Linked DNA regions of Danio rerio. The protein of the gene in region 3 purifies or fractionates together with the protein of the main gene of each other region. This does not show direct contact. Links are inferred from orthologs where the notes say so. Each region holds a gene or a part of one and is shown on either strand. Other genes may lie near its edges. The genes, in order: cct5, dicer1 and raf1b.

Evidence for each region.
Region 1: the proteins of raf1b (region 3) and cct5 purify together in Homo sapiens (affinity purification with mass spectrometry; 3 studies listed by BioGRID and IntAct, with this or other methods). This does not show direct contact. The link is inferred for Danio rerio from reciprocal best matches to the Homo sapiens genes RAF1 and CCT5.
Region 2: the proteins of raf1b (region 3) and dicer1 purify together in Homo sapiens (affinity purification with mass spectrometry; 3 studies listed by BioGRID and IntAct, with this or other methods). This does not show direct contact. The link is inferred for Danio rerio from reciprocal best matches to the Homo sapiens genes RAF1 and DICER1.

What each region holds. Positions count from the first base shown.
Region 1 is NC_133199.1:20,777,664-20,780,410, forward strand, and holds part of cct5 (T-complex protein 1 subunit epsilon), read left to right. Parts: intron 1-340; coding exon 341-539; intron 540-623; coding exon 624-816; intron 817-900; coding exon 901-1,050; intron 1,051-2,030; coding exon 2,031-2,150; intron 2,151-2,747. UniProt on the Homo sapiens protein: Component of the chaperonin-containing T-complex (TRiC), a molecular chaperone complex that assists the folding of actin, tubulin and other proteins upon ATP hydrolysis.
Region 2 is NC_133192.1:20,754,387-20,758,645, forward strand, and holds the start of dicer1 (endoribonuclease Dicer), read right to left. Parts: upstream 2,939-4,259; 5' UTR 2,642-2,938; intron 1-2,641. UniProt on the Homo sapiens protein: Double-stranded RNA (dsRNA) endoribonuclease playing a central role in short dsRNA-mediated post-transcriptional gene silencing.
Region 3 is NC_133186.1:568,836-572,494, reverse strand, and holds part of raf1b (RAF proto-oncogene serine/threonine-protein kinase), read right to left. Parts: intron 3,008-3,659; coding exon 2,923-3,007; intron 2,382-2,922; coding exon 2,205-2,381; intron 1-2,204. UniProt on the Homo sapiens protein: Serine/threonine-protein kinase that acts as a regulatory link between the membrane-associated Ras GTPases and the MAPK/ERK cascade, and this critical regulatory link functions as a switch determining cell fate decisions including proliferation, differentiation, apoptosis, survival and oncogenic transformation.

The DNA.
Region 1 (2,747 bases), on a different chromosome or scaffold from region 3:
GATTTTTTACTTTAAAAAAAAATCTAAATCGCAGTGTGTATATATAAATACATCCATGCCTAATATTCGATGATCAGAAAGTAATACATTTTTTGTAAATTGTTAAATATTGGTGTTTGTGATGCAGCATGTCCAGAGACCGTTGTGTACACCGTGATTTCATATAAAATTCACTTTTATTTTCAATATGACTGAAAAAGTGGTCATAAACAAATATTTTGTCAATTCTAACGTGTAGTGGCTTGGACCCGGAAACATTTCATACGTCACGATTGACAAGCAGATTGAAGTCTTATTTTCTTGCTTATTGAGTTACTGTAATGTTTGTTTTGTCCTGTAGTTCTGGCCGGAGCTCTTCTGGAGCAGGCAGAGCAGCTGTTAGACCGAGGCATTCACCCCATCAGAATTGCAGATGGTTATGATCAGGCCGCAAAGATCGCCATCGAACAGCTCGACAAAATCGGTGATAGTTTCCCTGTGGATCCTAACAACACAGAATCTCTCGTTCAGACAGCCATGACCACACTAGGATCCAAAGTGTGAGTTTTTCTGTTACTACGTGTTTGATTTGACCAGATAATTACTGAGAATATTCATTATTAATATTTTTTCCTGGTTTATAGGATCAACCGGTGCCACAGACAGATGGCAGAGATTGCTGTCAATGCCATTCTGACAGTGGCAGACATGGAGAGGAAGGATGTGGACTTTGAGCTCATTAAAGTGGAAGGAAAGGTTGGTGGTAAACTAGAGGACACTCAGCTCATCAAAGGTGTCATTGTGGACAAAGAGTTCAGTCACCCTCAGATGCCCAAGGTTTGTGTTTAGTGTTAATGTTCATTTCATGCATGCTCTGGTTCTAATATTTTAGGTTATTTATTTATTAGTGCATTCTTCCAGGTGCTCAAAGACACCAAAATTGCCATCCTCACCTGCCCATTTGAGCCTCCCAAGCCCAAAACCAAGCATAAGCTTGATGTGACATCAGTGGAGGATTATAAAGCTCTGCAGAAGTACGAGAAGGACAAGTTTCAGGAAATGATCCGACAGGTTTGTATATTGCCTGCTTTTGTTTTGCGGTTCTTAAGGCTGATTTATACTTCTGCCTCAAACGCATGTGTATGCTCGGTGTTAACGCATAGCCCTGGCCGTCGGCGTCGCTGACGTGCGCCTCTCAAAAAATGTAACTACACGTCGCATCGACGCGTATCGCAAGCTTTGTGATTGGTCGGCTTGGTAAAGCTGACGAGTCTGGGCAGGACTGAGAGCCATGCGAGCGGCGCGAGCCCAGTGGAGCGATTGTTTACAAGTGTGGAGTCCCATGAAGGAGCTCCAGATGGAAAGTTGTTTTGTGTTTACCTCATAGTTAAAGTTGTTGCACGTCCGCCGGTTCCTGCCTCAAAATGAGTACAGCCACTTGTACATACAGGAAGTGTTCAGGAAAAGCAAAACTCCAGCGAAGAAACTTAAGACAGAGGAACATTAACACCTCACTGCCAACTAGCGTTTCGGAAGTGTTAATGCTGACCAACAGAGACAGCGCGCAGAAGTATAAATGCACGACTACGCACATTGCATGCGCCGTGGGTTACGCTGGTCACTTGACGCAGAAGTATAAACCAGGCTTTATGCAGATATATTGATTAAATTATTATTTTTTATTTTATATGGATGTAATTGTTTCATTCTTTATTACAAATTATTATTATTATTATTATTATTATTAAGGTCAAAGATGAAACGTGTTAAGCAATATATGTAAAAAAAAAAAATCTATACATTTAAATGTAACATTAATAAAGTGTGTTAAAGTGTATGGAAGTACTTTTTAAAAATGACAAATGCTAATTATTATTATTGTTATTATTTTGTTAATTTGCATAATAGCCTGCCTCAGTAAAGCATCAATCTTTAATTTTGAGCAATAAGAGCTATTTTAAAGCTACAGCACTTTTTTTTCATTACTTCAATTTTCTCAAGAAAAATGTTACTTAATCTTCTACTTTAATTTCTTTACAATTCATCTTAAGGTCAAGGAGAATGGCGCCAATCTTGCCATTTGCCAGTGGGGATTTGACGACGAGGCCAATCATTTACTCCTGCAGAATGAGCTTCCTGCGATCCGCTGGGTCGGTGGACCTGAGATTGAGGTTTGTAAGAACTAAACGCAATACACTACTGCTGGGGTTGGCATTTTAAAAATGTTTCTTGAAATAAGTGTCTTATTGTCAATACAGTATTTATTTGATCAGTAAATAATGTTATATTATGAAATATTATATCGTTTTTAAAATAAATAAATTTTAATGCATTTGAAAATCTTGTTTATTCCTGTGATGGCGGCTGATTTTAAGCAGGTATTACCGCAGTCTTTAGGGTAAAATAATGCTTCAGAAATCATTCTGTGACATTCAAGAAATTAGTTGTATGCTGTTTATTCATTTAAATTAATTCATTCATTGTTTTTACTAATATCAGCTAGTTCAGGTTGTCTGCAGGGTCCTAGAAAGTATTAAAAGTTGGATCCATTTAGAGAAATTTAAGGCTCTTAAAGTATTAAAAAATATTAATTTTACAAGGTATTACGTTTTGTAACAATATGCTAACGTTTGCATGAATTTAATAATTGAATATTGTGGTGTTGTGCAATTTTTTGGAAATCAATACAATCCTGCTAGATTTTACATCACTGCTTTCTTTATTGTAGTAACCAGGGAAACACTTATTCCTCTTGTTCTCTCGGCGCC
Region 2 (4,259 bases), on a different chromosome or scaffold from region 3:
GCACTTATTGTGGGCATAATTCAGTTGCGCAATTCTGATTGGGCGGAACAAAGTGTGCTCATTCAGTTGGCTAGTTATAAAGCCCCAATCAGATCACACAATTTCAGCACAATTTTCTTGACATAGGGTGTCGTGGAAAGTCGTAAACGACAAATGGACATTGAGGTAAAGTTGGTTTTAGATTTACACATGAGACTTTCTCCTTTATAATATAACTTTAGAAAAGTATTCTTCGCAAACTCTAAACAGTGAAATCATTTTAGCAGCCATTGACCATCAAAGTACAACAGTGTTCACAGACAAATAAATAGTGCTAATGTTGTGTTAGTCACACTAACGTGATTTCAGACTGAATATTCAAAGTATCATGGTAAACAATATAGGGAGCATGTCACAAATTGTCACTGAATGAATGTGCGCATATAAAACCAACTTTAACTCAATCAAATGGATGCCGTGACACAAGATTTAATCGTTTCTTCATGTGTAATGTGGCAGTTCACGACAACCGATACTATAGCTGCGCAATTAATCGTTAATAGATCGCAATCTCGATTCAACCCCCTAGACGATCTTAATCCAGCATTTCTACGATTCTGCCAATCATATTTTCAAGTTCAGGAGAGAAGAAAAAGCTGCACGAGTCTTTTCCTCGTTTCACAAACGTTGTTTAGTGACATTGACACCTCTAAATGATGTTGAATGAGTCACATACTGTATTTATAAGGTATTATTCACCTAAAAATATTATTTTTGTTTTAATATAATGTTTTCACGATCAGGAAATCATACGTGACGTAAGCTGTTATCACAGAGAGGGGTGCGTCTACTTTAGTCAACAGAACCTGCGTATGTTGCGAGTAACAGGTAATAAAGTTCTTAATAATATTCAGTTTGTGGCACAGAGTGATCGTTTGGGAGCCGCGCGCAAAGTATGAACAAGCACTTCGCAATCAAAATGAAACAAAGTGTGCACTTCATTTAATGATCATATCGCATTTTAGAGTTATGATAACGACAAGCATTTGATATGTTTTTTCTTTCATAGCGAACTCACAGTTGTGCATGAAAATAAATGTTTACAATGTCAGTATAACTACTCTAGCCTATATATTCTTTAATAAAATCTGATAATGGCAAATGTCTGATTTTACCAGTGAATTAAATTGTCTAATATGACAGATTGCAAGCATATATCTCAAACATAATCATTCAACATAAGAATTATTATAAGAATAGATTAATATAGAATAGAATTATTTATATAAACCAGTAGACCTACACATAATATTATTATTGAGGTTGTGCCATATGTTTGTTTTTACCATACCTTTATTTTACATCTACAAAATTGTGAGAAAATCGTGATCTTTATTTTAAGCAAAGAAATGTGATTCTCATTTTAGCCAGAATCGTGCAGTTCTAACCGATACCATGTTTGTGATGCCTCATGACACCATCTCAGAAAGTCTAGCTAGCATGTTTAATCTTCTGAAGCATAGCGGACTGGTTTTGAAGATGTTATTTGTTTACATATGCATTTTATATTGCAGCCTCTATCAAATTGCGATTCGATTTTAATAAATCGCACACCCCTATTGCTAACGTTGTTTTAAAGTCACACTTAAATGCAATTTCAGATCGAATATTCAAAATAGAGTTGTAAACAATTAAAGGAACAATTAAAATGAACGAATGCACGAATATAAAATCAACTTTACCTCAGTAAGTTATTTCAGCATTCTTTAGTATCTTTGTTTGTGTTCAACTAAAGAATTTGGATTGGAACATGTAAATGAACAAATGACAACATAATTTTCATTTTTGGGTGAACTATCCCCTTTAAATGCGTCAATAAAATAGTGCTAATGTTGTTTTAAAATCATACTTAAATGCAATTTCAGATCGAATATTCAAAGTAGCATGGCAAACAATACAGAAACCATTAAAATGAAGGAATACAAAACCAACTTCACCTCACTAAGTTTTTTCAGCATTCCTTTGTAAATTGTTTTGGGGTTGGACAGGTTTTGTCCTAAACCTAAAGTGGATGAGCAAATAACAACATAAATTTCCTTTTAGGGTGAACTATCCCTTTTAATACCACACTGACTTGATTCTAAAATAAAAAGAAAACACTTCAATACGAGACTAACGTACCCCACACACAACAATAATGCTTCTTACACAAACAAATGCCACGCAGATGAAAATCAATGCCCTCCAGCAACATATTTACGGCACTATGAACACCTTAACAATCACAGAAGCATCTAAATATATCACCATACCCTAAAGATTTTTAATCATGCAAATCAGTTAGGCCTCATCGCGACCTTGGCCTTGGCCAGCAACACACCCGAGCCCCCCTCCAAAAAAAATCATGCATCTGTCAGTTTGCCAACCATTAACGCGACTTCTGCGCTAATGCTAATCTCTGATTACACATGAAGTGCATCCCCAGATCTCAAACTGTGCTCATATTCAGTATACGCCTGCCATGTGAATCAGTCTTCTAACGTTTGAGGCTAGCAGACGCGTGTAGCTAAAAAGGCATCGTCACGCAAGAATTAAACACCATACATTGATTTACCTCATTTAAAACCCTCATGTAACGAAGCACGTACGTTATTGCATTTACACGGTCAAAGGTTGAACGCACGGACAGTTCCCAACCAAATGTACACCGGACAGTTCGGTTTTTAGGCTGGCAGAGGTTAGCACGCGAGCTCGTGTTAGCTTCGGCTGATTTTATTGATTATTTCAAGATCCTGAGAGGAAAAACAAACATAAGCGATCAGCGCGGGAGGTGCTTGTAGATTGAGGCTAGTGCTCACCGATGGTGAATTGTTTTAATGGTCGTGTTGTGCTGAAGAGTGTCTTGTTAAACGGTGCGGAGCCCCTCTCTCCCCATTCCCTCCTGCTGCTGCTGCTGTTGTCAGGCTACTGCACGCATGTGAAGCCCGCTACTGCAAACAACGCGGAAACTGCGAGCACTGCTAACTACACAACAAATCCAAAGAGATTCTGCTACTTCAAAATAAAAGTCGCACTTGTAGGCAGTATGGATGTTTGAAGAAAATGTAGCGCTTTTACTCACACTAAAATAGCAGAATTTGATGATAGTTACTTTTAAGTAACGTAATGCATTACATTATTGAGTTATTTCCCCAAAAGTAACTAGTTGCGTTAGTTATTTTTTATGGTAAGTTAAGTAATGTGTTACGTTACTGAGTTATTTTTGCGTAACTTTTAAATACCTGGCTGAGGCTTGATCTCTTTCAGAACTTTTTTTTTCTATCTTTTTTTTAAATAGAGGAGCTCTGTAATTAATAACACACTGTAAAACCTACATTTACCTTTAAAAAACACATCAAAAATATTTTAGGATAATGTTTTCTGAGAATTCCTTATGCCAGGGCTATGCATGCAGTATATACAGATTATCAAAAGTTTAAAGCAATGTGTTTGCTACTTTTGTACTATTTTTCTGAAGTATCATTGTCCGTTAAGACAGTCTCCTTTTCAAAATAATGAACGCATTCTCCCATTGATTGTGTAATTTATTTTGACTACTTCACTTTTAATTCAGCATTTTAATATTTTTAAAGCTGATTAATTACAATAAAAAGTAACTTGTGTTACATTTTCAAAATAAATAAAATATTATAACAAGTAATGCACTACTTTACTCGTTACTTGGAAAAATAATATTATTACGTAAATCGCATTACTTGTAATATATTACCCCCAACACTGACTGTTGATATTTTTAAATGTTTGTTGGTACTGTCTTTCGTTTGATATTCACAAGTAGCCTGTGTATATTGTGTCATTCCAGTTAAATTTCTAATTTAATAATTTTTCCTATTTAACTTTTCTCATGCATATTTCACCCCAGACATGTTTGTAACGGAATATGTTAGTCTTTGTTCCTATAGTTTGTGTTTTATTTGAGTTTTATTTTTTTATTTCTTATGTTTTCTTTTTATTGTTTGTTTATTCATGGTTTATTTTAACGCTGGGTCTCAAAACAATAAAGATGAAATACTCAAAATATATTCACTTATAATATAACTGAGAGAAGATTTTTTTCAACACATTTCTAAACATAATAATTTTAATAACTCATTTCTAATAACTGATTTATCTTATCTAGCCATGATGACAGTACATGATATTTGACTGGATATTTTTCAAGACACTTACAGCTTAAAGTGACATTTAAAGGTTTAACTGGGTTAATTAGGTTATCTAGG
Region 3 (3,659 bases):
AATATATGCATACATAATTTCCTTAATTTCATTTAAATATTTACTTTATTATAATATTTTTTATTTAATTTATGTTTTTCTTTTTTTTTTCTCCAAAGCTGCATTTATTTGGTCAAAAATACAATAAATATTACAACAAAAAAGTGAAATTTTATTATCCTTTACAATAACTGTGTTCTATGTGAATGTGTAGTGAAATGTCATTTATTTCTGTGATTCAAAGCTGAATTTTTACACCAGTAAAACAGATCTTATGATTCTAATATGATTATCTGAGGATCAAGAAACATTTCTGACTATTAACAATGTGCAAATGCTTCATTTGTTTGGAGAAAACTCTGATACGTTTCATTTTTTGAGGATGTTTTTGATAAATATAGATCGAACTACACTAATCAGTAAAGGTCTCTGTAAACTTTTCATCAGTATCAGATTGCTGTACAGTTTCAAAGGCAACCACTCACATGCAAGCATTCATTTCTAGATACACTGCACTGGCTGTAAACTATTAACAGCAGTAGTGTTTATTTCAATGCTAATCGGTGGTTTTAGTGCTTTGCTTTACACATCAAATTGCTAAAGATGCCAAAAATCATTGAAAACTGAACACATTTTCAAAAGCTCAAACTTTCATGATTCCAGCCAATTATTTACCACCGAAAAGCCCCCAAAACACACACACACACACACACACACACACAAAATGCCCACCTGAGTACATCAGCAAATGACAGAATTTCCATCAAACACTGTTAATAAGAGCAGACGTGTCTAGACATCTGCAATAACTCTGAGAAGGAAGCGTTTCTGCTAGTTTTGAAAGTTGATCCGGCTGTTCATTTCCCTGGTCTGACCAGGCTGGGTTATTTGCTTAGTTGCATGTTTTAATTTGCATTTAACAAATAACAGCATTTACGGCTGCAACCGGCTGCTTGACACACACTGCTTTAGGCAAACCTGCTTTAAAGGGCCACTACTGCGCATGTTCATGCAGGACACTTGATGAAGAGTGTAATGTAGATGTTTGTGGATGTAAACAAGCGCAGATAATGTTAAAGTTATTGTCTAACTAAAGCCTGAAATGAGTCATTAATTAATCCAGTCTTGTATTTTCAGCACAAACCTTTGGAGGTTTGAGTATATTTACTTAATGTCAGCCCACAGTCTCCATTGGTCCACTCACAAATCCTTTAAATTCAAGAAAACTACCATCACTGTTATTGCTCTGCACCATTAGCCATCTGACTAATCAGAGGAGAGACAACTAACCAACGAAAGCTATTTGACCAACGACAGCGAAGTAGATCATCTGACCAATCAGAGCAAAGCAAATACATCTGACCACTCAAAGCAGAGTCAACAAACCAATCAGAGCAGAGTACAGCCATCCGACCAATCAGAGAAAAGCAGATCAATTGACCAATCACAGCAGAGTAGAGCCATCCAACCAATCAGGGTGGTCTGATAAATTAGAGCAAAGCAAATCCATCTGGCCAGTCACAGCAAAGAGTCAACAGACCAATCAGAGCAGAGTAGAGCTATCCGACCAATCAGAGAAAAGCAGAGTCAATTGACCAATCATAACAGAGTAGATCTACCCAACCAATGAGGTCTTCTGGTCAATCAGAGCAAAGCAAAACCATCTGGCCAGTCAGAGCAAAGAGTCAACAAACCAATCAAAGAATAAAGCCATCTGACCAATCAAAGAAAAGCAGAGTCAATTGACCAATCATAGCAGAATAGATCAATCCGACCAATAAGGTCATCTGACCAATCAGAGCAAAGCAAATCCATCAGGCCAGTCTAAGCAAATAGTCAACAAACCAATCAGTCATCCAACCAAACATCCGCCCAACCAATCAGAGCAGTGATTCCCAGCCCTGTTCCTGGAGGCACACTCACAGTACACATTGTAGATGTCTCCCTTATCTGAAGCATTCAGTTCAGGTTCTTCTGATGTCCTGATGAGATGATTCAGGACTGTTTGAATAGGAAGAGGTTGTGCACTGCTGGTGTGTCTTCAGGAACACGGTTGGGAAACACTGGACAGGATCTTTGAATCATGATGAGTGTTTCTAAACCTTGCATTGACCAAAATCAGGAACTTTCAAAACAGTGTAACAGCGGCCCTTTAAAGTGTTGGTGAGCTGCTTCAGGTGTGTTTAGAGGCAGTTTTCTGCAGTCCGGCGCTGTGCAACACTCACTCCATGCCCTGAGCCGTCTGTCTGGCGATGTCCATCAGCTGGAACATCTGGAAGTTTGTCTCCTGCACATGCAGGTGTTTGTAGAGGCTGCTTCCCTCACACCACTGCGTCACGATGGCCAGCTTCACCTTCGTCATGTAGCCCATAAACAAGACGATATTAACATGCCTGGTCTTCCTGCGGGAAAACATAAAGACAAGAGTTCAGCAGTGTGACCACAACTCCACTGTCCGCTCTGACAGAATAACACGAGCTGTGTTTCCATTCAAACATACCAATTACATTTATGCCAAAGCTGGAGAATCGCTTACATTTTTAGCCATCTTGGTATTTCCATCAAACATTGTTTTATGCAATAATTTAAAATGCAAATACAGATAGGTGGAAAGATTGTGGAAAGCAGATTTAAATATAGCGAGAGCAGTCGGGTCAGTTCTAGTATACAGACAAACAGCTAAATACAGAGTAAATAAACAGCGAGAGCAGTCAGATGTCAGATGAGCACGAATTCTTTTGAATGGGAAGGAAGATTTAAAATGACAAACAAAAACCCGTATGTTTCACGACGTGGACAAAGAAATATACAACATTCCCTGACTTTCAGTGTCTGCAATACACCTTTTAAATGTCCATATTGCAGAAATCCCGCAGGAACCCTGTTGAAAGTTTCTCTAAAGCTGAACTGAATGATTTATCTGGGCCTTTCCTGCTGGTTTACCTGAGAACAGCCACTTCATTGCGAAAGGCCTGCAACTGCTCCGGTGTTGGATTGATGACCTTTAAAATCTTCACAGCAACATCACCTGAAAATAAAGCCAGCAGCATTTATTTATACTCCGCTTTACATTATAAAGCTACTTCCTGAAGCTCAAATATCATAGCAGCACAACACTGGTCACTCTGCATAAGAGTGTACAGCAGATGCATGCACATGCAGCTGAAGTCAGAATTATTCGCCCCCTTTGAATCTTTTTCTTTTCTAAATATTTCCCAAATGATGTTGAACAGATTCAGGAAATGTTCACAGTATGTCTGATAATATTTGTTCTTCTGAAAAAAAGTCTTATTTGTTTTATTTCGGATAGAATAAAAACAGTTTTTAATTTTTTAAACACCATTTTAAGGTCAATATTATTAGCCCCTTTAAACTATATTAGTTTCTGTTAACCCTTTAAATGCCACTTTTAAGCTGAACACTAGTGTCTTGAAGAATATCTAGTCTAATATTATTTACTGTCATCATGACAAAGAGAACATAAATCAGATATTAGAGATGAGTTATCAACACTATTATGATTAGAAATGTGCTGGAGAAAACTTCTCTGTTAAACAGATATTGGTGAAAACATCAGGGGGTTAATAATTCTGACTTCAACTGCACGTGCACATTTATAAATGCATGACAGGGAATATGCAATTAATCTGAATCATCAATACAACAATATTTATTGCAGA